7 linked regions of the Danio rerio genome follow. The protein of the gene in region 2 interacts with the protein of the main gene of each other region in a pairwise test. Links are inferred from orthologs where the notes say so. Each region holds a gene or a part of one and is shown on either strand. Other genes may lie near its edges. The genes, in order: vstm2la, atxn1a, zc3h10, mettl17, rbfox1, sybu and sf1.

Region 1 (3,939 bases), on a different chromosome or scaffold from region 2:
TGAACAATGCATTCGCCATCAAGATGCTACAATGATGAATTAAAAATGAGATCTCTTGAAATGCACATAATTGTTCCTTCTGTGAGGAAAACAATAGAAAGGGACTATTTGATTAAACAAATCTCAAGTGCGTCAAAAAATAGCTACTATTAAAGCAATGCAGATTAGCACCATGGCAAAACCCCCAAAAATATCAATATTTAGTAAAAGGCTGTATTTAATTGTGATTATTTCGTACTGATATCACCATCTGGGGTAAAAAGTAACAGCAAAATTCAACCATGTTTCACTGACAAGACTATATAGAGCAACACCATGGTACAAAAACTAAATAAGCACCTTAAATATAGTAATCATTTAATATAGTTCACATAAAAGAACCAGACACGGTACTTTTAACAACATCAATAGAGCATTAGTATGGCCATCAATCAAAAAAGTGTAAAAATACCACAATTTACAGACCATCATTGACCAAAAATATAATTTTACATTCGATTTCTGGACAGTACTGTGATATACAGGGTTTCACACTATTCATTTGTGCTGTCCCAACACAAATCCATTAAGTTAATGTAATAAATACAGGTGGATTGAACTTAAAATAATTAAGTTGTCCAAAAAAGAAAATCAAGAATTGTGTTGTTTCAGCTCATTTTAAATAATCCGTTTTAACAAGCAGCAAAAATGAGTTGTTTTTAGTGTATATGGTTTAAAAGCTATAAAATACTGTGATTTGGAATCTACAGTATTTTGAGGTGCTCAGGTACTTGGGTTTGTACCTCTTAAAGTAACTTGTCGGGAAAAAAAGCTTGTCAGAAGGAAAAACTGATCAGCTTATCTTGTCAATTGTGTCATAAATTTTTCAAAAAGCAAATAAAAAAACATATTTTGGGAGTCTAAAAACCCTGAGTGTGATGAAGACTAGAAGAACATGGTCAAAATGAGTCTAAATCAAGATATAAACGCAAATCATATTCCTGCATAGGTAGGTTTGTGTCTTTTTATGTAAATCATCTGATGAAGCTAAGGAATACCACAGTAAAGCTTACGCCATGGTATTTTGGATATAAATGGGGACATCTAAATTGATCCACATTTAAAACTATTATTATATACAGTTGAAGTCAGAATTATTAGCGCCTCTTTGAATTTTCTTTTTTCGTTTTCAAGGTGTGTCTGATAATATATTTTTCTTTTGGAGAAAGTCTTATTTGTTTTATTTCGGCGAGAAAAAAACCCAAACATTTTACGGACAATATTATTAGCCCCTTTGAGCTCATTTGTTTTCTCGATAGTCTACAAAATAAACCATCGTTAAACAATAACTTGCCTAATTACCCTAACCTGCCTAGTTAACCTAACTACCTTAGTCAAGCCTTTAAATGTCACTTTAAGCTGTATAGAAGTGTCTTAAAAATATCTAGTCAAATATTATTTACTGTCATAATGACAAAGATAAAATAAATCAGTTGTTAGAACTATTATGTTTAGAAATGTGTTGAAAAAAAAAAACAAATTCAGTTAAACAGAAATTGGGGAGAAAAATAAACAGGGGGGCTAATAATTCTGACTTCAACTGTATGATGTTTCAGTGGTAACGATTTAACCATGGTAGTACTATTACACTAATAGAAATACTAATAGTATTTCAATTGATTATTTTAAGTATCTAAAAGTGGGTACTTTGATGCGTGTTTAACACTATACAACCCGGTACCATTAATGACAGTATGCTATTGAAAAATGAACGATTAAACTATTAAACTGGGTGAATCTCACCAAAAAACATGGCTTGTCAGAAAGAAAAAGCAACTACTGTATTTTGCAAGTGATTTAAGCATCATGACAATATTTTGTAGAAGGGGTATTTCGGATATTTTTGATAAGAAGAGGTATTTGATAGTTATCTTTAGCATAATTGTTTTCACATGGTGCAATCTATTATCAAATCATCAATCATTTTACAAAAAAAGCTAACTAAACAACCACATTTCGAGAGTCCAAAAGCATAGACTATAAAAGAATGATTCAGAAAGCAAATAAAATCAATGTTTAGGTTCGTGTATTACTATAAAACAGTATTTATAATATCACCATAAAGCTTGCACAATGTTATTGTAGGATATAAAAGGCTCCATTAGATTGATCCACACTCTAAATCATGTCTTTAACACTAGTAATTTAACATATTCTGTTAAATATCTTAAATTGGGTACATTGGTTTGTGTTAATCACAATACCACCTGAAACCAATGACGGCAAAACCTTTGCATTCCTTGAAGTACTGGTATAGGACATAAAGTACTTTTGAAATACCATGATTTCACCGTCAAATGTCATGTTTCACCTGTAAATAAGCTCAGTGCAGTTGTGTGCTCTGCTGTATATATGTATATATTGGTGATGAACTGCTCTGCGCATCTCCATCATTGTGCAGTTTGCGCGCGGATCGCTTCCCAGTTTCACCCGTACACCGACCACAAACCCGTGAATGTGAACCGGAAAATCTTACCGTTGCTGGATATGTGGTTCTCCACATCATCGCCCCCAGGTTGTCTGACACTGGCACTAAGTTGGATGTAGAGTCCCATACAATGTAAACTCCTCAGAATCACTCCAAACGCGCCCATCACTGCTCCCTGCAAAACACTCTCTCACATCAGGTGAAAATATACGGCTTTAGGAGATAGATCCAGGTGTTGGGCAGTGTTTAATGTTTGGTTTTGTCCCTTAAGGCGAAGGTAGGAGATGCTGAGAGGAGGCTGCGTGCGTTTGCAGTCGCCCACTGATGCGATTTGATTCTCCGCGAAGAGAAACTCCCGGATCTAACCAGCGCGGCGGAGGGATACGTAGTGTGGGAGCGGGAGCGCGCTGGCTGTCATTGGGGAATTTCAATTAGGCGGAATAACATTGTGAAGAGATTTTTTTCAGTTAACGGTCAACGCTCGACGGTCGCCGTGGGTGGAAGGAAAATTACATCTGAAATGCTTCTGAGGTAAATATAACCGGTGACTGTGAATGTAGGCGGTTTTATTTCACTCAACAAGTATGAAATATGGATGGCAGCAGAATTAGATTATTACTAATAATTCTAGTTTGATTGGGCTTGGCTTTTTTCCCCTTCAGTGAACTCCTATACCATTTTAATTGAATGTACATATTGTTTCGAACGGCACTATTATTATTATTATTAACTGTAATAGCTATTATATTTTAAATATTTTAGTATTTTCATCTTAATAAATGTTAATCAATGATCCAGTACTCTATAGCGTATTAAGGAGGCTATAGTGAACTGATAAACTACTGTTTTATACTTTAGTTTTTACTACAGTAAATGGTTTACTAAAGTATGTTGTTTATATGGTTGTAAAAAACTACAGTATTGAGTCACTTATTTATATAACTATAATTGTTGTGTTACAACAGCATCTATAGGCTGAATGTTGAGTGTAGAAATCTAAAATTCAAGTTCTTACACTGAATGAGTAGAAGAAAAAAGGAAAAATACATTACCTCTAGGCGTTTCACCATGCTGGAAATGGAGGGTAAGGTCAAGCACATTGCACTGATACATTTTTCAGCTCTTTTAGTGCTTTGAGTGCATACCAAGTGGCAAACGAAGAAAAAAAAGTAACATTATTCATGCTGCATAAAGTACTATAGTAGTTAGCCATCCTGAAGAAAGAAAAAATGGTTTAAACTACAGATGTAAAACTCGTATAAAATTTATTTGCATCCATAACATAGTTCTATAGTTTTGCCAATGACTGGTGACCAGAAAATGCAGTGGCTATATATTATATATGCATAAATTCTACCATGTTGCCAGGTATTGCTAGAGTTCATACATCAAACCAAAATTATGTCAACTGGTGAGTAAAACGACTTCATATTACTTTTATGATGCTAATATGAATAATTAAACATATTTTG
Region 2 (3,500 bases):
ACTCGTTAAAAATGCTAATTTCAGAGATGGCAAGAAACAAACGGAAGTTATGGTTCATAAAGATTGGCAATATATAATATATGGAGGACAATATAATTGCTGTACACACACCTAAAACTTAGGCAAAGGTCAACTCCATTAGATTTTTTTTTTAATAATAAACCCTTTACTACCACGTGCAGACATGGTACACAGTGTTTGATTAATATCACATAGTCATCAATCTCAAGTTTATTTCCCCGCTTATCTTTGTGCATAAGAAAAACAGATACTCAGATGTGTCTACAAGCAGCAATGTTAAATAGAAAACTTATGAACCCACCTGTGAGCGTTGCGCTCCTACAGCAAACTGTATTATAGCAAAGTTAGCTGTATGACTGCTGTCGATGCGCTCTACAGTGCTGGAATCAATCTTCAGCTCGTTGCTAATCTCAGCACTCTGAATGAAATCCTCTGTTTTCAGGTCTTCCACCCGCTTCAGTTCCCCATCTGCCAATTGGATGATGGAGCCCTTGGTGAAGTAGGGTGGCATTGAAGGAGCTGAGGGTGGGGGTGGAGTTGTCAGCAGGCCAGCAGGTGCTGGAACCACAGGCAAATGCAACTGGGCTTGAACCATAGCTGTGGCAGGGTGGGGGTATGGAGCCGGAGATTCAAAAGTTTCCACTTTGGGGGCTGTTGAGGTGACGAAAGCATGGGGCAGTGCAGCAGTTGATGTAGCGGTAGCTTCAGTTCCACTTACTGGGATGATGACCGGCTGAGTTCCAGGGATGACCAAGTGCTGGGGTAAGGTGGTGTGGTAGCTGAGAGGCTGCTGGTGCCCTGTGCCGGCAAAGTAACCAATGATAGGCTGCTGGGTGGAGTAGAAATTAGTGGAGGGGAGGCTTAGAGAGAGTGACTCTGTGCTGTTAAGTGTGGTCTGAATGACTGCATGAGGAGACTGCGCTGGAACTGCTCCCTTAAGATTGTCCACAGGTGGAGGGGGAAGAGCAAATGAAAGGGAGGAAGATAAGGAGGAACTGCGGGAGACAGGTTTGCCAGCACAAATCCCTCCTTTTTCATGGTGGGATGTCGAGGGAGGCAGCTTGTCTGATGCACCTCCAGAATCAGCACTAGTGGAGCTATGATTATTAGGTACCAGCACCAATGAGGTCCTCATGGCTGTGCTGTCCTGCGTGTACTCGGCAGGTAGCACAACATGTCGAGCTTCAAAGTGACGTGGGCTCTGCTGCTGGTGGATCTGGTGCTGCTGGGCAGAGGAACCCCCTTTGGCAGTGCTGCCCTGCTTCCCTGCACTGGACTCAGAAGATGGACCAAAACGTCTGTCCTTCTCCAGCTCTCCATTCAGCAACTCCCTGGTCCTCATCTCCTCCCTCTTGGGTAAAAGACTTTCTGTGTATGGGACTAAGACCTGTGAAGGGCCACTAAGGGGAAGTGTGTGGTGAGGATGTAAATGTAGGGGCAAGTGTGTATGCGGTGACGAAACAGTTCGAGGGGATATGCTTAGTGGAGAACCAGCAATTTGAACATATTGAGTGGAGTGAGGTGAAGAGGTGTTGTCAGTTGTGACCAGGCCTTGAGGACGGCCCAATTGGTGGTGCTGATCAATTTTGGATGCTGGAGAACTGGAGGAGCTGGCATAAATCTCACGTTGTGTGGTAGTGGTGGCAGCTAAAGGGGGAGCTAGTGGAGAGATGTAGCCAGCGTATGGTGCAGAGTAAGGAGGGTTGATGAAGTGTATATTGTGAGGGAGGGGTGTGTACTGGATTGCGCTAGGAGAATGGGAGAGAGGTGATGTGTACACTGCAGGTATGGTGGTCACTGCAGATAGAGCTCTGGTTGAGTGTGTGGACGAGGAAGGTGTGCTCTCAGCCGTGGCTGACAATGGTTTATATTGAGGCCCATCTGATTCTGCAGACGTGCTGGTGTGCAGCCGGCCTTTGTCATGCCCACTGGCCAGACTGGCAAGCCAAGCCAGGTTCCCTCCACGCTGGCTCTCATTGGCAGGCGCCATCACCATGGGCTTCTCCTCTGAGGGCAGAGTGCTTGCTGGGATTTCACGCTTCTTTGGGGGCAGGCATTCATTGCTCCGCTCCTGGTTTGACTTCATGGTGTCTGAAAATCTTGAACCACTCTTTCCGGATTTTTCTTTCCCCTTTTTTGGCTCTTTTCCTCTCCCTCCTGGTCTCCGTTTGTCTTGCTAACAGAGTGTGCCCTCCTACTGATTGGCTTGGAGCGAGTATGGGAATGGGGTAGAGAGGAGAGTGGTGGTGAGAGGGGATGTGTCCTGTGCCTATGGTCGGATTGACACAGATTTCAGTCTTAAGCAATTGAAGTCACACCTGCTGCGGGAGAGCGGTCCATGCAATTCATGTGGAATCATTTCCTTCCGAGAGAGAGTCTCCAGGACTGCAGGAAGAACCTGAAATATAATAAAGAAACATAATCAGGTTTAATGCACAAACATAATTTCAGCAGCTTTTAGATGATAAAGCCATGTAAACTGAAGAAAATGAGAAACCAAAAAATGAAGGCTGTAAATATTTTGTGCATCAGGATTTATTTCTATGCCACAGTGGTGCTGAATGGACAAATAGCTTGCAGTCGTTTACAGAGGACTATCTTAACAGCAGCTCAACAAATATTTATTGTAAAATAACATGCCTCAACAAACTGATAAATGCATAAGTATATTAGGAAAGTTAGAACTGTCTCTCTATATTGGATGTTAAGTTAAAAATTGTCCATCAAATAAGAAAGCTAGCACAGTTTCTTTTTCCTCTTCCTCCTACTCTAGATTGTATGGGGAGACACGTGACAAAACAATGATGCTGTGCAGTGTTACGGCTTGTTTGACATTCCTCCCTGAGCTCTATTGATTGGACCCATTCAGCTGCGTCTGTTGTCCAGCACTAGTGGGAGGATGGTTTTGCATGATAAACAGGCCCAGATGATTTAACAAGTGTCGCAGTGCTATAAAAGAGGAGGCAGATACCGATGTAAGCGAAACCCTCCCTTTAATTTGGACACTACTAAAAATAGCATAAAGTACCACCAAACAGTACTACCTAATTTTTTGGACATGTACCATGGTACTGAGACTTATGCAAGTATCTTTGTATTACTATATGATGCCAAGACTGTACTACAACTGTTTGGACATGTTAAAACAATGCTTCTTTAGACATGGTACTATTATAATATTCTTTGAAGTAGCGTATGTACCACAAGGAAATAATATATATATACTAACACTAAAAGGAAATACTAATACATAGTAGAGGTTGTGTTTAGGTTCACAAAGGTAATACCATCTCTTAAAGTAGACACAGCAGTCCTTAGCTGAATACAAACAGCAGGAGAATGTCCTCTGTGTTTGCTCTTAAGTCAAAGTAGAGTAGAATGGTTACACAACGACTGAACATCAGTGATTGACGGCTATTGATGCTGAGCAGGGTGTTTATTCTCAGCACTCTCTCAATCAGTGTTTCCTGCTTCTTTTT
Region 3 (4,192 bases), on a different chromosome or scaffold from region 2:
TTTCATTTAGGAACACTCCTGAGATAAATAAGTTATATCTCCGTACTTAATTAATAAATTTATATGAACTGCTGCGCTTCCCACCTCCTTATTCAACCGCAATGACTTCTTGGACTTCTCGAGCGAGTTTTGCACTCAAGTATGCATCGACGCATCCTCGATGTCAAAAACACAGCCGGGAACTTTCTCGCGTCCTCTGTTTTACAGTCTTGAGTATAGGGTATATGGCGAAGCATGCTAATAGGACTTTCAATTTGCCAGTAACCTGGGTTAAGCGTTTCAGGCGAATTGTATGCCAATGCAAAAACTGGCGCGTTTAAGGTCTGTCATCTTTAAAATCAGCGATCTCCACTAGCTAAGTAATATCTGACATAAAGTGGGTCTCAGATTGTACAAGAAGCACTGCATTAAATGACATTTTACCCCGCCATGTCTTTATAATATGAGCATTTATTTTACCCCAGTATATTCAATGGAGCTTCTGCGCTAGCCTGCCGATTCTGACAGGCGCGTGCGAATAAACGACTTTGTCTCGTTTTGCGCTTGAGCAACTAAATGAATGCCAAAGTTTATTTAACTGAATGTATTTCAATGACATTACAACATTAATGCTGTGAAAGGAGCCGTATAAAATGGAAGAAAGTTCACAATAACAGGTCACCGGAAGTTCATCAATATGGGAAAAACACTAGATAGGCATATACCCTATTAGAACTGAACTTTGGCAGTTGATTATGACTTACACGAGAACACAAGATCACTGAAGAACACACATTGAGAAACAGCCATACTCAGCAGGACACCAGCCTGATATAATTAGGCATGGGCCGGTATAAGATTCTGACCATATGATTACCTTGGATAATCATATCACGTTTTCACAGTATAGTGATTACTGTTGTAAAATATTGTCTTTTTAAATGCCTGGGTAAAAAAAAATAAAACTTTTTTTCCTTTTGAACACACTATAATTTATTTTGAGAAACCTTTATAATATTTTGGAACAGTAAATGTGTCAGGCTACAAAAATTATTGACTTCTTCCGTCTTTTGTTTCAGTTTTTGTACAAATGAAAACAGCATCTTTTCTGCTGGAGATACTGTTGTCCTAAAATCAAACAAAAAATGTAAATAAAAAGTCTTACACATACCTTAGGAACGGCATTGCAGAAACTTTTGAAACCTTAACTTTTTCAAACTGCGGTATACTTTGAAAACGGTTATCATCCCATGCCTAGATATAATATATATAAATGTTCATACTTTTTTTGTATTAAAAAGTTCAAAGATTTAAGATGCTGATGATCATTAAACTGTCTTGTGAAAAGGATCAATAGCTTCCAAATTAATAATAAAAAAACCTAGTCAGAAATAAACAGAAGAAGAATTATTTGAGAATATATTAAAGGATAAGGATCTTAAGGATAACAACTTTTAAGGATAACAACGCAGCACCAAAACACTAAACACTTGTTATTGTAAATGTTAATAATTTCCCACAATCCTATTCCAAATGCATTTTGCAAGATACTTGTAAATTGAACTTCATTCATTTTCTTGTCGGCTTAGTCCCTTTAGTAACCCGGGGTCGCCACAGCGGAATGAACCGCCAACTTGCCCAGCAAGTTTTTATGCAGCGGATGGCCTTCCAACCGCAACCCATCTCTGGGAAACATCCACACACACATTCTCACACACACACACACACACACAATCATACACTTCAGACAATTTAGCCTACCCAATTCACCTGTACCGCATGTCTTTGGACTGTGGGGGAAACCGGAGCACCCGGAGAAAACCCACCCGAAGGCAGGGAGAACATGCAAACTCCACACAGAAACGCCAACTGAGCCGAGGTTCGAACCAGCGATCTTCTTGCTGTGAGGCGACAGCACTACCTACTGCGCCACTGCCTCGCCCTATATTGAACTTTAAAGGAGTTAATAAATCAATATTTGGTATTTTTTATTTAATTTTGGTGAACTGACACTGTTTCAATTCACTATAATCTTCTATGTGAAGCTACTTTGACACAATCTGCATTGTAAAAAAAAGCTCTAGAAATAAAGATGAATTGAATTGAATAAAAAAAAAAAAAAATCAATAACCCCGTTTTTATTGACCTTAAAAAAATGTTGGCTATTCTCAAAAAAAAAAAAAACACTTGAAATGACTCACAATAAGCTAAAAATTTGTTTGTTTGTTTTTTTAGAAATTGGGAGAAACAACAGCCTTTTATAGAACAAATAAGATATTAGCATTCAACTCGAATCCATACCTAATGATTGCAGTAAACCGAGAAAGACTGGCAATCCTTTGTTATTATAGCCAAATAAATTCAAATATACTTAGCTGTAGCAGTGTGTACATATAATATCAATATAGTATGTAATAATTTTAATAACTACATTTTATTTTAATGTTTTCCCCCAACCTCTTGTCGTACCTGATATATTAAACGTGTATATCTTTATAAACAACCATTGTGACTGTTTGTTTACTAGCAGTGTGTTGTCATGTCAAATCTATGAGGCGCCAAATACTTCAACAGCACATTGCGGCATATACTCAATGTGAATGAACAACCAAGTGTGTTGTCCGATAAGTAAACAAACATTGTTGGTGACATTATTTCGTTAAGTTTGCAGTATATCCACACTCAGCTAATGAAGTAATGTTAAAACACGCAGTCTACTTCCAGGCACAAAGGCCCGGATAACGCGGGTAACGTTAGACAAGACACAAAGACGCGAAGCTAAACCATTACCATTAATAACTTACCCGCTCCACAAACCCGGTCGAACCAACGAAGTTGAATAAACTGAACAACATTACTAGCTAAACGGAGCATGTGTCAACAGTGCGAGTGCTAACATTATAGCACAAGTTGCTCTATGAATGACCCCTTTTCTTTTTCGAAGCACTACCGGTGCAGCACTTCACGGGGAAAATGAACGTCAAAATAAAAGTCCTCAAGTCAGGGTAAACGTGCAACAAAATAGAGATGTTGCTAGTACATGGATGTGACATGGTACATCCGTATTTTTCTAAAAATTATGGTAAAAAAACGGGATGTTGCGAAGGAAATGTTAATAATAATGTGTTATTTGTTTACATGTGCTCTTATTGACACTGAACATACATTAGAAACATCTAGTATACTCAGAAACAGTACAGTACAAGATTTCATTCTCAGAAAAAGTTGGCATGTCTGTTTTCACTTGAAGAGATACAATAAACATCCTTTTATGCTGCTTTAAAAAATTAAATATCTGATCCTTAACAATAAATGTATAATAATAATAATAATAATAATAATAATAATAATAATAAACCTCTAAGGAGTAAAATCCATTACTTCACACAAAAATGTATTGGAACAACAGATATCTGGACAGAATTAGGAGTTTGGGATTAAAATAAATTTTCCAATGATGTAATTTTCCAACTTTAATATACATAAACTACTGCACAAGATTTCAGCATTTAATTCACATACAAGAGCCAATAATTCACTACAGCATGAGGGTTGTCAATAGTTTATTTTTTACATTAATGAGAACATCAGACATCAATGTTCATTTCCAATAATCTTATAAAGATTCAGTTGTCGACCAGGAATGCAGTGGGCACAGAACCTGGAAGAAAAAGAAAAGAAGGTGGTTTTACATCAAGCAAATCAACATTGGTGAACAGATCAAAACAGATATACTCTTACAGATTAGCATCACCAATGTATGACGTGTTTTCTGTAATTAATATTATGTACTAATTTCCTTTCAATAAAAATGAATGGTTTGGAAGAGATACTGAATTGAGATTTCTGGAAGTTCAATTAAAATAAACACCTTTGAATTGAAACGGAGCACTAAAAAATCCAGAATAAGTATTTTAAATCCACTAGATATGATAGGAATATGGTTAAAACTAGTGGTGTAATTGATCACAAATTTCACGGTTCGGACTACATTATGGTTTAGTCACCGATATGACCATTTTTCAGATCAGCCAAAAAGGGAAGGAGACAAATGTAATTTGCTTTCCATTTATTACCAAAACAGCACTGCAAGACAGCTTTGGTTTTAACAAACAGAACTTAGAAGCTTTAATTTTATCAAAGAAAAAAGAAATAATCAGCTGGAGAAAATAAACTAAAATATTCTGTACTTTGAACAGTTCACTATTACTCC
Region 4 (4,234 bases), on a different chromosome or scaffold from region 2:
TGCTAAAATTAATTCGAGGGAAGCATCACCTTCACATTCTTCTTTTACCACAGGTTTGTCTTTGTTCGCTTTCTGACTCCTCCCTTCATTGCGTCTCTTCTTGGAAACGGGCTGCTCCTCTTCCTCCTCTTTTTCTTCTTTAATCTGAACAACACCTGTTGCTTTTTTATTACCATTCAAAGCATTCCCTTCATTCAGATCTTCTGCAATAAAACAAATCAGCTGCTGTTAGTTTCCTGACCCAGAGGCTTATTCAGTCACATACAGAAGCACGCAGACGTACCTGACTTCACTTTCTGAAGGCGTATTTTTCGTTTGTACTTGCTGACAGTATTAGTCTGAGTCATTTTCACAAGATCCACTACGTAACCAGGTCCGAGCGCAAGCGAAACAGACTTTTCACCAGCCTGCTTTGCTGCATCCAGCTGTTCGCAGACCTCTGAAGGATACGGTTCCCATTCATCTTCATCCCCTTTCCACTGCCAAACTAAAAACATTCATAGTTCATAATCATTCATAATGTAAAAATATGCAAATCTGAAATGAAAACAGTGCAAACATATTATTTATTAATGTTTTAATGGCTTATCAGCAACACTGGCTATATTCATGGCAACATCGGTAATACATATTCACTACTTAATATACAAATAGGTTTCTTGATAAACAAACAAACAAAAAAACACACAAAAAACAAACAAAACACACAGTCAATGATTCTACATATTAAAATTCTTCCAGGGGACTGTCACATCTATAAACTCAAAGTGATTTAATGGTTAAAACAGTCATGCTGGGGTGGCTGTGGTGTACATTTATATATATATATATATTTACTTGGAAAAGCAGTCAATGTAAATGTGCAGAGCTTCAGTGTATGACAAAAAGTCTTAAAATGCTGATTGTGTAACTTTGGGTTGTTTTGGCATGTTCAGAGAAAGCGAATTCATACCCGTCTTCGCCTCTGAAGCTTCACTGCCTGAATCTGCCACAGACTTGTCCCTGCAACTCCTTGTTCGTCGCATGTTCCCGGAAAACAGCTAAAATTAGGAGAAAACGTCAAAAGAGGAAACGTTTCCGGTGTATCACACGTTAGCAGTGAAGGTATGGGTGTGACGTAAAATTCCTAGTTATGTAGTTAGGAGGTGGTGAATTATGACATGAGTCACCATAGTGATGTATTCACTTCCTAATAACGTAAGTTAACGTTAGCCCGGAGTCTTGCGGCAAAACACGTTTCGGAGAACAAAATATAGGATAACATTACGCTTTATCCCGCTAAAATGTAAATAATGATAAGATTAAAATAGTTTTCAACACTTACCTCAGATCACAGAGCACAACTGGGGCGTTTTAAATGGCGCGAAAAGTATAACAGAGCGGACTCCTGTCTAGGAACGAATTGACCGATTTGTTTCTACACGGATTTATTTTGAAGTCGGTAAAACGACTGCTTGAGCATGCGTCCGTACACCGATGTTACCATGTTGTGTTGTCTTTAAAGTAGAATTTCATTTGTACGCAGGTTTTAATAAACGAGAATAAAGCATGCATTTACTGGGAAGTCGAGTGTTTGTGAAATGTTCAAGGTGCCATGTGGCTTTGTCTTTGAAAGAAGCGATCCGGGTGAGTAATATGTCAGTCAAACTTCCATGTCATTCTTAGTAATAAATGATGTGAAAAGAGCGGAGGGAGAGTAGTCTGAATTGGGTTCTAGCATGTTATGCTAGCTCACACATCGCACTCATTCGCCAGCCGCGAGTGTTTCCAAGTCTGCGCGCGTCATTCAGTTGATCCGCTGAATGTGTGCGAGCATCAACGTCTGCTGCGAGAGTCGCGCGCGTGACCCGATTTTCTGTGCACTCGCTCATCATTCAGATGATGTCCTGCTAGGTCAGCGAGGAGCTCCTGTCTCAGACCTTCCCCGAGGTGTTGGCGAGTGACGAGCACTCAGTAAGTGACCTCTACAGTGAGCTTCCTTTCGCTGAAGATTCAAGTGAGGATAGTCTGATATATATAGGGCGTGATCAGGGCTATTCGTTTCGATGATGGTGAGAAATATACTAATAATTTATTTAGTTTGTTAATCATTTGTAATTAATATATTTGTGTGACCTTAATTATTACCTGAGAAAATGTTTTTTGTCAACTAAATGTATTGTATGAATGGTTTAAACACTATCAAATGTTTTGAGAACGAGAATGTGTTCATTGCTCTGCAGTGATTGGTTAAATTTGTGATTGGTAATGAATGTGGCCTGGCTACTTGATGATAAATGCCAGGCATAATTGCTACCCAATAAATACCAAATTTGTCAAATTTAATAACAATATTTCCCATACATACTCATTTTGTACTCAATATGATGAAACACTAAGTCATTTATTTTGGGAGTGGATTTACTGTAAAGTGTTTTGGGTTGACTTCCAATTACATCAAAAGAAATTCTTATTTCAAAACTTTTATATTTCCCCAAAAATATTTCTAGTATTTCTAGTATTCTAGTATTCTTTCTATTCCTACTCTCTGAACTTAGATCCCTCTTATTGTAAATGTATTATTTATTATCTCATGATTTATTTATTTTTTTTGGCAAAATTTTACATCCACAAATTTACATTTTCTAAGAAACACCCTGTTTAATTTTAGAAAGGATTTATTTGTAAACTCTGTGAAATACTCTAATAATTATATTGCCAGTAAAACTCTTAGTGTAAATCATTTTAACTTGCTTAATTTGCTGGAATTTTATTTATGTAACCGTTTTTGTCTCTTTGTTCATATTGTATCTTTGTAAATTTTCTTCCTTGCATGATAAAAAAAGATAATGGCAGGCATATCTATAAAAGCACTTTCTTTAAAGCAGTTAGAAACACTAATTTAAGCACTGCTATTGCTCTTTTCCTAAAAGAGCAGTTGTAGTGAAAAGTTTTTTTATGTAAAGTTAAAACTTTACATAAAATTTATAGTAAAATGAAAACTAATGAAAGTATGAATAAAACCATATTTCTTTACAAATGATACTAATAATCTTTAATGACAAAATATGTAAGATCTTTATTTAATTTCACTAGAAAAGTGTTATATTTTTTGCTGACTTTTACACTTACAGTATTTCCAGTGTTTTGAGGAATGTTCAACTCATTCTAAAAATAAGCAATTTTAACTAGTGACACATGCTAATGACATCATTCACCCTCGATTTTCAGTCGTTTTATAATTTAACTCAATTCATCTTTATTTCTATAGCGCTTTTACAGTGTAGATTGTGTCAAAGCAGCTTTCTAGTGAATTGAAACAGTGTCAGTCCAGTTTTCATTGTTGAAGTTTAGTTTAGTTCAGTTCAGTGTGGTTTAATTTTCACTGCTGAGAGTTCAAACACTGAAGAGCAAATCCATCGATGCCCAACTCCACAGGTCCCGAACCATGCAAGCCAGTGGCGACAGCAGCAAGGAAAAAACTTCACCTATAGAAAAACACCAAAGATGCTTAATATGCCTTGCATTTTATTAGACTGCACATAGTAGCAATATAACAGAATCATAAAATGTATTTAATATATAAAATGTATATACTCATCCTTGTTTCTTATTTAACACAAAAAAGATAATTTGAAGAATGTTGAAACCCGGTACCCATTAACTTCCATATAAGGAACAACAAATGCTATAGCCAGAACTACCTGGCTGTAATTCTGCCAAAAAGATACCCTTCAACCACTAACCATTATTCAAAAAAAATTATCAGAATTATGTGATACTGAATAAGTCAAATGTGCTTCTCATTGTCTTGAAAGTGTCAGAGTTCCGCAGCACCTCTGGAACAGGCCGACTACCTGAATGGCGCTCCTCACAGAAAACACCCGGGTGTTACAAACCTGAAAACAGTGCAACTGCCAGAGCAACTGCAGCTAGCAGCACAGTCCATCTTACAGAGTGAGGAACCAATGATCTGCCAGCCTCAGTATTAAAGATTATGTTTTCTGAATTGACATGCTAAAGTAGTGTGTTTTATATGCTTTTTATTTGATATGTAGGGGCCGATGTAAAAAGTCTGACGGAAAGGGCACAAAAACTCTCTAACTTCCTTTGGAGCAGGAAGCGGGTGATAGAATCTTCACAGCTCAGGGAGAAAGCCATCATTCTGGAGAGGAAATTTTTGGAGGAAGAGAGAAATGTCAGTGAAAGTGAGTTATTGATAAAAGACAAAATGGAGAAATGTCAACACTGTGGT
Region 5 (4,060 bases), on a different chromosome or scaffold from region 2:
GAAATTCATTATGGTTAGTAATTTTAACTAAACCACAGTGAACAGAGGCATTTTGTTTATGTTTGTAAGGCTGATCTCTACAGCACGATCTCGAAGTGCTGCCATGTCCACTTATTATAAATGATGTTCCAGTTTAAAATAATGATTGCAGTGCACACTTCTATATATTTTAGTCTTATTTATTAATATGATAAAGAATTTTAGTTTATGTTCATGGACTTACTCTTATTCCTGTTGTTTTTTTTTGTTTTTTTTTTTTCCTTTTTTTTATCAAGGAAGATCTGGCAACACTCATGAGTCAAGCCATACCACATGCTGTACCTTTATTTCTAAAATAATATCTAAATTTAGATTTACAGTAGTGTATATGGCCACTGACATCACATGGTCCACATTTATAGCAGTTTTACTGTACTTTTAACTGTGCTGTACCTTTTTAAATGGAGAGTTTACCCAGAAATGAAAATGAACTCACTGTTTACTCACCCTAAAGTGGTTCCAAACCTTTCTCTGTACTGTTTAACAGTTTCAGCTTTCTTCACATTGTCTTTTTCTTCTGTTTAACAGAAGAAAGAAACTCCTAAAGGTTTGAATCACGCAAAGGTTGAGTAAATTATGACAAAATTTTCTTTTTTTTTTTTTAGGTGAACTATCCCTTCAAGGCTTGACAGCTGCTATTCCCATTCACTGCTCTAACAACTGAACATGTTGCTGCTAATCATCAAGATTATGTTCAAGTTTCACGTTTTCTCATTTAATTAATGGTTAAAACAGCCACAAGACTGACGACTGAAGTGCTTTATAGCATCATAAAACTAAAAATACAAAAAGATGGTGAGAATAAAGAAACACATATAAGGCATAAAACTGACAAAAATAAATTCCCAATAGGCCAATGAAAACAAGTGGGTACACTGTAAAAAGCAATTAGTTGACTTTACTTTAAATAATTAAGTAAACCCATTGCCTTAAAGGTTTGAGGAAGATGATTAAAAAAATCAAGTAAGTGAATGTAAAACCACAGAATTACAAGAATTACAAGAATTTTCAAGCAAAATCCACTTGTCACTTTTAAGGCAATGGATTTACTCCCTTTTTTGATGAGTTCACTTTTTACAGTCTTTTAAAATTTACGTTTCAAATCTCATCACTCATTACTTTTTGATTTAATGGCTAATTGGTATGATCACATTTTAATATGACTTGCTCATCCCCTTTTAAGGGGTAGATTTAGGGATTTAGGACGTGAAATCCTACAAATTCATACAAACTAACCACTTCTCTGACAACACATAAAATAGTTACTTTCCTTTAGACATCAGGCCGGAAAAAATGCACACATTGTAAGTCGCTTTGGATGAAAGTGTTTGTCAAAAGTGTAAATCCGAGTGCTGCGACGAGCAGCCAAGACGTTTTCCAAAAATTCACCTTTTGGATTCCTCCCAAGTCAGCTTGGGAATGACATGTAAATAATGACAGGATTTTCATTCTTGGCAAGTTGAGAACGAGTCGAGGAGAGCCAGGAGGGAAGCCGCAACTTGCTACTCTGTAAATGGGACCTTGTAAAAAAAAATCCCTGCTGTTCCTTAAGCAGATGTTACACACATCACGCTGTTTCCCATTAACACCATCAGCACTTTGCGTAACACATTGATATTCAAGAGCGGGCACACCATGCCATAATTAGACTATCATTTGATCAGGAGTGCTAAACTCTTTATGCACAAGTGTCAGAAACGTTAAAGGGAGGGTGGAAGGAAAGTCAGCAAAAAAGACAGAGGTGCCTCGGCGGTGTGGGAAGCCCCTGCCGGTGCAAGTCAACTGGGAGGCTCTACATTTGTGGTCATAATAGTCAAGAGAGGTTTTTTTTTTTTTGGAGGCCCTCGTAAAATAGCTGTTGGCAAACACTGAGAGAAAAAAAAAAATAAAAAGGAATGGCAGACAGTCAGGCTTAGCTAAATGCTTTGGCCTCCACCCTAATGAGAACCACATTTGGAGGACTGAAATATGTTTTACGTGGCAGCGCGCTGGATTCATCACTTCACTGCGCTCAGCTTCCAGGCAAACACTTACCAAACACACGCAGCTTTGTTTTGGTAAAGGGCTTTTTACAACACTTTGCAAACATAATTTCACACACAACCAGTCCTACGCCTCCCTCGCTCTAAATTTCGCAAACGGTCGCGATGAGTTCAAGCGCATGCTGATGCCTTAAAAATGATGGAAAGCCAGGTGGAGCGCAGAGGCACTAAAACGGTGTACGTTTCGGAGCGCTTGTGTTTGGCCAAATAAAGCGTTTGAAGAGCAGCCCGACAAACTCTCTCGCTCCATCTCTCAGGGTGGATGACGGAACCCGGCTCATTTAAATGATCGTGCCTGCCAACATTTGTGAGTTTAGCCATTTGGATCGACCCGAAATGAAGCTTGGAGATGGAAAACCAGCAAGGAAAAAGAAGGTACGAGGAGAAGAGATAGAAAGCAAAACAGCTGCTGATAAGGCAGCCTGAAAAAGAGTTGCTGAAGGGGGCTCCCTCTTTCTTCAAAGCGCACGCTCTCACTCTTTCTCTCTCTCACACACACACGCATACGCACACACTCAAATGCTGTCATACACAAGCCGCCCCGCTCTACTGTGCAGCCGCAGCACAAAAGCAAGACGGGCAGGAGGAGGAAAAAAAAATGCAGTAATGCGCTTGGTAAGCAGAATAACAGGAGAAAAAAAAATACCTGTTCCACCATCTTGCTCCCTTTTTCCTCCATAAACTAAGCAGCTGCCTTAGTCCCAATCCCTGCAGCATCTGCCTAAAGCAAGCATCAATTATAGATGAGGGTGTGTGTTCGGCGCTGTGTGTGTAGCGAGTGAGTGTGTGAGTATGTGAGTGGGAGGGAAGGGAGGGGTGGAGAAGGAGGAGGGAACTAATGCAAGTGAAAGCTGGGCTCCAAAATTTCTCTCTCTCTCTCTTTCTGTTCATAACTAATGTGTGAGCCTCTGAAACGCTAGGCCGTTTGGTGAGCTCGAGAAGTACATTTAATTCAGAGTTGTGATGTATAGATTGTGAAATGTGAAATGATGTGAAAGCTGCCCTTGTTGTTTGTGAATGTGCGGCTTAAGGGATTGTACTGCTTCATGAACTTGGGAAAATAAACAATTAATTCTGGTGTTTCTTTTTTTTTTTAAAGATATAAGGAACCTGGAATATATATAATAAATCAATGTGTGAATGTATGAATGAATAAACTAATACAAATTTATAGTAATTTAAAAATAGAAAAATCTAATATTTATAAATCAGTTATAGAATAAAAAAAGTAAAAAAAAATGTACATATGCTGTTACAGTAAAAATAAAAGAAAATAACAAATTTAGATTTGCTCTAAAGCCTAGAAATCTAAAATATAATCAACACAAAAGAATGATGATGATGATAATGATGATGATAATAATAATAATAATAATAATAATACACTGTAAAAACTCAACATTCAACTTTATGAAATGAAATGAGTGTATTATCATTTACTACGGATTAAGTCACAGTACTCATTAGGATTAGTTTTTGAACTTAAATGGTTTGTTGCAATTGGTTTCCTAAAATGGTTTGAGTTACCTTAACCTTTCGGGTTTTACAGTGTAATACTACTACTATTACTACTACTACTAATAATAATAATATTAATTACTATTATTATTTATTTTTGGGGTAGTATCAGAGGAGACCTGCATAAAGTTTATAAAATCAAGTGATTTTTCTAAACGTGTTTAAAACAAATGGAATTTTTAAATTAAAAAATTATAATTTTTGCGACGCATTGGCGCAGTAGGTAGTGCTGACCAAGAAGGTCCTCACACCAAGAAGGTCGCTGGGTCGCTGGTTTGAGCCTCAGCTGGGTCAGTTCAGTTGGCGTTTCTGTGTGGAGTTTGCATGTTCTCCCTGCGTTCACGTGAGTTTCCTTCGTGTGCTCCGGTTTTCCCCACAGTCCAATGATATGTGGTACAGGTGAATTGTGTAGGCTAAATTGTCTGTAGTGTATGAGTGTGTGTGTGTGTGTGTGTGTGTGT
Region 6 (3,242 bases), on a different chromosome or scaffold from region 2:
GTATATAGTCACATGTCTTGTGTTTTCTATAGTTTTTGGGTGAACTCTGCACGTTTGCTGTAAATAATTTGGGCATTCTGCGTTATTTACACTGTACAACGATAATTTGCTTATGTTTGTGTGTTTGAATTGACTTTGTATGCAACTTACTTGCCCAAATTCTTAATTCCATGTTTCGTGTGAACACAACATAAGCTTTCATCACTGCCTCATGACTCTGCAAGTTCTTAACATTACATCACAGTGCATTTTTGCATTTACAGTTGTCACTTTTTATTCACGGGAGTTATGTTCTAAATATAGCCCGCAATGGGCAACCTGTAAAGTTATTATAGATGTTTTAAGGCTGTAAAACCCCTCACTACACCTTTTATACACTTTTTCTTAGACCGACAATAAAATTTTCACACTTTTCACTCTTGTTTAAGCACTCTCAAAGTTCAAACTTTCATAGAAAAATAAGTCCAGTTAATAGAATGCACATGATAGTTGGAAGTAACACAAACTGGACGCGCATATTCGCATGTTATTTAAAATGAAATTATTCAGATGGCACTTTGTGGCATGACAAAAATATGAACAGTGTACTGAGTCGTAGCTGGGCACCACAGACAGTCCCCGACTTGCAGCGCCGGTGTGTGTACCTTGATATAAACCCATGTTTACAATTTTAAAATGCATGGCATTGTGTGGCGTGGCACATCCGGTATGGCCCCATCGAAGATTTGTTAATTTAGTGAACTAGGCACATTTTGTACTGTACAGAAGATACAGAGAAGATTGATTGACAATGATCTACAGCCAATCCGGACGCAGAACACAATGCGTTGTAAAAAAAAAAAAAAAACGCATGTCAAATTGTACAGAAAAAATCCACGAAATGGCAAGGCCACAAAACTTGAACTGCATCATGGCGAGTGATCACTGTACATGTGAACTTTATTATTATTTTTTTTTTAATATAGAAAAAATACCCATGTATGTATGGCCATTGCCTAAATATGAATCATTCTGAATTTCCTCATCAATTGTTTTAATTTGACTGGTTACAGGGAGTCTGAGATTGAGGAACTGAAATCTCAACTGGGACGTATGAGGGAGGACTGGATAGAGGAGGAATGTCACCGTGTTGAAGCTCAGCTGGCTCTTAAAGAAGCCCGCAAAGAGATCAAACAGCTGCGCCAAGTGGTGGAAACCATGAAGAACAGCCTGATGGAGAAGGACAAAGGCATACAGAAGTACTTCATTGATATAAACATCCAAAACCGGAAGCTGGAGTCCTTGCTCCACAGCATGGAGTTGGCGCAAAATGGATGCAACTTGCAAGATGAGCCGACGCTGGATTTTATCTGCGAGGCTCCAGAAAGTTCTACCGAGGCGAAGATGGAGCTGGAGCTACATTGTGGGGAGCAAGCAGTGGAAGAAATGGCGAATAGTGAGCTGCTCATCAATGATGAGATGGTCAACAGAGTAGAGATTCTCATGTCAACCGCAGTCGATTCCAGCCAAGATGGAAGCACCAAGATCATCTCCCAACCAGGACTTTCCTGCTTGGAGCCGAGTGTTTCAGAAAAGAGCACCAAAGAGCATGTCTCAAGCATTCCAATTGGTGCAGAAGATAAAGGTATTCAGACTGATGATGTGATCTACAGCACTGATCTCCAAACACTGCTTTACCAACTGCTAAAGCTCCAGGGTGGGGGATTTCCAGGCCTCCTCGTTCCTTCTCCCAACCAATCCCATGATATCTCTTCAGCACAGGCTCCCAAAAAGTCACAAAAGGAGGAGTTACCTGAAGCACACGAGCAAGATGTTGCCATCAGCACTGCCCAAATTATTCCCAGTGATTCTGGTTTGGGTTTTTCCGAGCCTGAAGTGGGTCCAGAGTTTATGGAGGAGATGAATTCGAAGAACAAGGCAGTGGTTGGGAAGAACCACTGGAGCAACAACTTCTTTGTGGATTTGGTTGCTGTTGCTGCACCCGTCCTGCCCACCGTGGCTTGGCTTTATTCGCAGCATGGTTTGGTGGGAGGGGCTCCGGTCTACAACATAGCTTCATTGATTCGAGGCTGTTGTGTTATGGGATTGCACTCGCTCCGTCATGTGTCTCACGGGCCGGACACTTAGCGGCCCTCACCTACTTCTACAACAAGAGCACTTAAATCTTCATCTTCAAGTATAAATCGTGTTTTGTACACTCGTGATTTGATATGCATAGTTTCTGTTTAGCTGCATCATTCCTATTTGCACTGTATTTTTGCCACAAAGGATGAATTCAAGGGGATATCAAGGGACTTGTTTTGTCTTATTTCTGTTATTTATTGACCTTTTTGTTTGTTTATTTATAAATATTTTTGCATAATCTGATCATCTTGGTAGGTGGTTATGTTGCTCGAGTCTTATTTGCTGACTGCGATTCCCTGCTTTTTATAAAAGAGTCAATAGGGGTTGACTGTCAGTTAGTTGCGACTTTTTTTTTGTTGTTGTTGTATAGTTAAAGCATCACTAGTGTTCCAAAAGAACTGAAACCTTCTGCCAAAGCTTCAATGTGTTCAGCGTTTTGTGTTAAGTGAAACTGTGTTTCTCTCCTTTGGAGTTTAGAGCTATTATGTGTTTCCTGAAAAGCAACACTTGCCACAGTACAGCGAACACTTGTTATGTGCCTGAGCTATGTGCAATATTTTTGTTAATATGATATGTATATCATTATATTTATTATTAAAGCATGGAAAACCCCTTCAAGAGTGGACTTTTTGTTTTGTGTGGGAGGTGCTTGTCTTATGTCTGTTTCCACTGAGTGGTATGGTTCGGTATGCTTTTATGGCCGTACCACTTTTTGGGTACCCTATGCGAAGGGTACCTACCACAACAAAAGGGTACCAAAAAGCGGAGCTAGACACGCAACTGGACGCTATTTGTTTGGAGATGCATCGTTCGCTCGTGCAACAAGCCAGAATGATAAAGGAACTGCCATGTTTCAAATACACAGCTGATACATTACACCGTAATAATACATACAGAAAATAACGAGACATGGTAGACCTGAGTTCAAACAAACCTTGACGTCGTCTTGATAAACAGCTACAAAGCCAAGAAGAAGAGCAGAATTCACCCTGTGCCCCGTCGTTTTTTTACAAGGCCGTCTAGAGGTTTCGCTTTCTAGTGTGCACTCGTTGCGTGTCTATACTTAAAATAACAAACTTCTTGATCTGATAATAATAACGTATGCATGATTATTGAAG
Region 7 (3,500 bases), on a different chromosome or scaffold from region 2:
TGCGTTGCGCTATCAGTTTTTTAACTTGGGAGTCTCTAGCTCAAAGACACACTACTCACCGTGGCCCAATTAAAAGCCCAACAAAGTTGATCTCTGGATATTCATCCTGAGGAATCATCACCTTATCACTGACCCGTGTTGCCGGTGGTCTGAGAAATAAGAAAAACAATTAAACTACCTGACACGACAGAGCTAAAGAGGTTTACACACACAAAAACAACACTTCTAGTAGCCATACTTGTAGTCAGCTGGAGGTTTGAATTCAGGGTTCAGTCCCACCATCTCTGTAATGAGAGAATGTCTCTCTTCTTCCAGTTTCTTGCGCGTGCGATATTCACGTGTGTTAAGCCGCTTTCCCTCGCTGTTGTAAATGGGCTCAGGAGATGGAGACCTGAGGAAAGGAAAGAACAGAAAGATGCAACGGCGTCAAAATGCAAAACCTGTAATGGTTATCAACAGCTAAACATTCAATGACTTGCCTATTCTGACTGAGATGTGTTTGACTAATTTGGAGGTCATTTAAAAAGTGCATGGGATGCCCCAGAGTGCTCACGTTCTAGTGACAAAAACGAGACGAACAAAAAAAATAACGCACCCTAGAAAACTATATTGAACCATTAGGAAGGGAAAAAAGTTCAGATTAAAAAGTCAGAGAAGTCAGCAGCTTCTATTAAAAAAAACGGTTGCAAAATTTGGGTCTCAAGTTATATTTAAGCATAACTAAAATGGGTTTGTCTCAATTTTTCTGCAGGATGAACAACAGGACAAAATCTGAGACAAACGGGGCAACCAACACACTTGAGCGCCTGTTCTTGAACGCTGATCTAACTCATCACATGCTCTCAAAGAGCATCCCAAATGTTACCTTTCCCTTGGACGGTGCTGAAAACCTGTTAACCTGCACAATGAGGCTCTGTGTTTGAAAAAAGTTACGAGACTGGGAATTTGGGTTAGAGAAATAAATTTGGATTAAATGTTAACCTTCAACAGCTCTCAAACAGTACAGCCACACAAACGTGACAAGTTCATGAGAGGTAACCCGAAGAGGAGAAAAGAGGGTTGGGGGGAGAGAGAAAAGAATGCTCTGCTGGTTTTCTTTTGGGCTGATATCTCCAGCGCTGACAACTTGAAGCACCTCCAGCTTTGTTTTTGGCGAGCTGGAAGTTGATGAGCAATCGTTCCTAAATCCTGGAGTGGATAGACCTTTAAGAAGAGTTGGCGGTGTAAAAACGTCGGATTAAGATTCTGCCGGAGAACCTAAGGCTGTTCAGAGAGCAAGGGATGTGGCTACTAAAAAGACACTCTTACGTCAGAAACATGACATTCCTGCTATGTTGGATGCTTATGAAGTCTATGAGTGGCCAAAGTGATCAAAGTGTTAAGGTTAAGGTTATTCCAGAAAGAAAAGTTCAGAGGAGACTCCTCCGAGCGGTCTTCCAGTGCGGAAATCTGGAATACTGTGGAAGTTCCTGGACAAAATGGTGGTAGCCCCATTATGGAAAACCATTATTGACCATCCAATTAACCAACCATTCAGATTTTTTAATTTAAGGACTTTAATGTGTTTAAGACTGGATTTCGGAGGTTAGAAAAAAAGGGCAGTAATGTAATATATAATCTAATAAAAAATTAATACTTTCAAAAACTTAAATAATGACCGAACCTACTATCTTCAACTACAGCAACTACACTGGGAGAATCAATTAAACTACTGCAGCATTTCTAATAATACACAAGTATCATAGCACATGAAAAAGCATGCAATTAAATATCTACAAAAACAGTTCAGAATAAAAGTAAACAAGATTTACTTTGGACAATCAAAAGAATTGTTGGTTTTATGCCTACACGTTTTGATGGGTCGAGTTAATCATCACTCTGTTAAGATATGTTCTGCAAGACAACTTAATTTCAAAAGCATGTAACACTGGCTAGCCAATGAAAGTCAGATTTTTTTGTATGACAATGTCCTACAATAATAGCCTTTATTCTAATCTTTGCCTCCACATACAAAACAGATCAGATGTTTTTTAAAGGGCCATGAAAAAAATACTACACAACAGTAATAGTTTGATTAAGGTGTTTGCATTCGGAGCAGCATTTTACAGCAGATCTTTTAGTCCTTAATATTGTAGTAACTTCGTAACTAAAACATTTTGACTAAGGTATGTCTTCAAAAAAATAAGAGTACTGCTGATGATACTAACTAACTTTGCCATCTGAATAAACAAACAAAGAACATTGACTGCACACTTACTAAACCTGTAAACATCAAAACTGGAACCAGGTCTTTTTTTCTTTTTTTTTTTAAAAGATGAGTGGCAAATCTAGATTCGTCAATTCATCATTTTCGAAAAGCTCTCGTTTAAAAAAAAAAAAAAAAAAAAAAAAAGTCCCTTACAAACATTTTTGTCGCATGTTAGCAAACCACTGTAATCCACACATGTGGGTCCACATGCGAGCTGTGCTCTCATCACAGGGAAATGGAAACAAAACCTGTTGCGGCACATTTATAAATGCAACACTTACAACTCACGTCTCATAACAATTCTTCTACTTGTTTGAATTATGATTGGCAACACAACATGGTATCTCTCTAAACATTGTAACAGGTAAAAGGGGGCTTCGAAGCTATATCATGCATATTAATGAAGTTGCATCTTGTTTATATTAGAGCACGCTGAATAAAAACTCAATTGTGTCACTTTGTACCAACTGGTACAGACAGCCAATCTCCACGCTGGAATTTACATAATGATCTCATCGCTGTGATGTTGCTACAAAATTTCTCCTTTCAACCCAGGAGAATGAATTTGCTCTAAACAATGCAAAAACAACCAATTTTCATTTTTTAGCTAAATTAATGTGTCCTAATAGCGTTTTTAGCAACGCGAGACACCTATATAACTATCAAGATCTCAAAAAATGTGTTTTGGCATTTCGTGACCCTTTAAAAATACAAAAAGTGTTTAAAACACTGAAAAGTTTAGGTTTGTAATACAATCTATTTAATTACAATAAAAGAACTTTCAAAACTCTTCAATTAAGAGGCAAAGATATGATGTCAGTTAAAAGCAAGGCATTTAAACTTATTTCTGTCACTTAATTACTTACCCCTACATAGACACTAGTACACTTACGAACTGGGCTCACTTAAATTGGCGCATTGAAAAGGTAAAGAAAATGTTACTGTTGGTGGGTTTAAATCGTTATTCCGACCTGTCCTCAGGGTTAACAGGGATTCCCAGGTCTCCTGTACGCAGTTTACGTGTCAGGTCTTCAATCTGCAGTTGGACTGGAAGAAATCAGGTTAGGAAAGAAAAAAAAACAAGGATGGAGAAAAATGTGGTTAACAACAAAAAGACCCCACAAAACCAGAATCAGTACACTGTAAAACTCAATGTGACTAGGGTTAAGCAACAAACAAAAAATTACCATGGTAAATTGACAGTTCACTAAGAATCAAGGTCAAGTAAAGACATTTGATCCTCTGTAGTATT

The links.
Region 1: the proteins of atxn1a (region 2) and vstm2la interact in binary tests that used the Homo sapiens proteins (3 or more experiments, as listed by UniProt). The link is inferred for Danio rerio from reciprocal best matches to the Homo sapiens genes ATXN1 and VSTM2L.
Region 3: the proteins of atxn1a (region 2) and zc3h10 interact in binary tests that used the Homo sapiens proteins (3 or more experiments, as listed by UniProt). The link is inferred for Danio rerio from reciprocal best matches to the Homo sapiens genes ATXN1 and ZC3H10.
Region 4: the proteins of atxn1a (region 2) and mettl17 interact in binary tests that used the Homo sapiens proteins (3 or more experiments, as listed by UniProt). The link is inferred for Danio rerio from reciprocal best matches to the Homo sapiens genes ATXN1 and METTL17.
Region 5: the proteins of atxn1a (region 2) and rbfox1 interact in binary tests that used the Homo sapiens proteins (3 or more experiments, as listed by UniProt). The link is inferred for Danio rerio from reciprocal best matches to the Homo sapiens genes ATXN1 and RBFOX1.
Region 6: the proteins of atxn1a (region 2) and sybu interact in binary tests that used the Homo sapiens proteins (3 or more experiments, as listed by UniProt). The link is inferred for Danio rerio from reciprocal best matches to the Homo sapiens genes ATXN1 and SYBU.
Region 7: the proteins of atxn1a (region 2) and sf1 interact in binary tests that used the Homo sapiens proteins (3 or more experiments, as listed by UniProt). The link is inferred for Danio rerio from reciprocal best matches to the Homo sapiens genes ATXN1 and SF1.

The regions. Positions count from the first base shown.
Region 1 is NC_133198.1:46,996,155-47,000,093, forward strand, and holds the start of vstm2la (V-set and transmembrane domain-containing protein 2-like protein), read right to left. Parts: upstream 2,801-3,939; 5' UTR 2,634-2,800; coding exon 2,516-2,633; intron 1-2,515.
Region 2 is NC_133194.1:34,917,448-34,920,947, reverse strand, and holds part of atxn1a (ataxin-1a), read right to left. Parts: intron 2,420-3,500; 5' UTR 2,108-2,419; coding exon 323-2,107; intron 1-322. UniProt on the Homo sapiens protein: Chromatin-binding factor that repress Notch signaling in the absence of Notch intracellular domain by acting as a CBF1 corepressor. Binds to the HEY promoter and might assist, along with NCOR2, RBPJ-mediated repression. Binds RNA in vitro.
Region 3 is NC_133181.1:54,969,596-54,973,787, reverse strand, and holds the start of zc3h10 (zinc finger CCCH domain-containing protein 10), read right to left. Parts: upstream 2,801-4,192; 5' UTR 2,784-2,800; intron 1,583-2,783; exon of another isoform or gene 1-1,582. UniProt on the Homo sapiens protein: Specific regulator of miRNA biogenesis. Binds, via the C3H1-type zinc finger domains, to the binding motif 5'-GCAGCGC-3' on microRNA pri-MIR143 and negatively regulates the processing to mature microRNA.
Region 4 is NC_133177.1:40,857,928-40,862,161, reverse strand, and holds the start of mettl17 (ribosome assembly protein METTL17, mitochondrial), read left to right. Parts: upstream 1-1,434; 5' UTR 1,435-1,548; coding exon 1,549-1,626; exon of another isoform or gene 1,627-2,045; coding exon of another isoform or gene 2,046-2,051; intron 2,052-3,797; coding exon 3,798-3,936; intron 3,937-4,037; coding exon 4,038-4,187; intron 4,188-4,234. Other genes in the region: parp2 (poly [ADP-ribose] polymerase 2), read right to left, coding at 30-203, 284-487, 953-1,025. UniProt on the Homo sapiens protein: Mitochondrial ribosome (mitoribosome) assembly factor. Binds at the interface of the head and body domains of the mitochondrial small ribosomal subunit (mt-SSU), occluding the mRNA channel and preventing compaction of the head domain towards the body.
Region 5 is NC_133178.1:26,815,796-26,819,855, forward strand, and holds the start of rbfox1 (RNA binding protein fox-1 homolog 1), read right to left. Parts: upstream 2,801-4,060; 5' UTR 2,761-2,800; coding exon 2,728-2,760; intron 1-2,727. UniProt on the Homo sapiens protein: RNA-binding protein that regulates alternative splicing events by binding to 5'-UGCAUGU-3' elements. Regulates alternative splicing of tissue-specific exons and of differentially spliced exons during erythropoiesis.
Region 6 is NC_133191.1:43,582,123-43,585,364, forward strand, and holds the end of sybu (syntabulin), read left to right. Parts: intron 1-1,052; coding exon 1,053-2,127; 3' UTR 2,128-2,742; downstream 2,743-3,242. UniProt on the Homo sapiens protein: Part of a kinesin motor-adapter complex that is critical for the anterograde axonal transport of active zone components and contributes to activity-dependent presynaptic assembly during neuronal development.
Region 7 is NC_133182.1:22,792,832-22,796,331, reverse strand, and holds part of sf1 (splicing factor 1), read right to left. Parts: intron 3,296-3,500; coding exon 3,220-3,295; intron 392-3,219; coding exon 239-391; intron 150-238; coding exon 60-149; intron 1-59. UniProt on the Homo sapiens protein: Necessary for the ATP-dependent first step of spliceosome assembly. Binds to the intron branch point sequence (BPS) 5'-UACUAAC-3' of the pre-mRNA. May act as transcription repressor.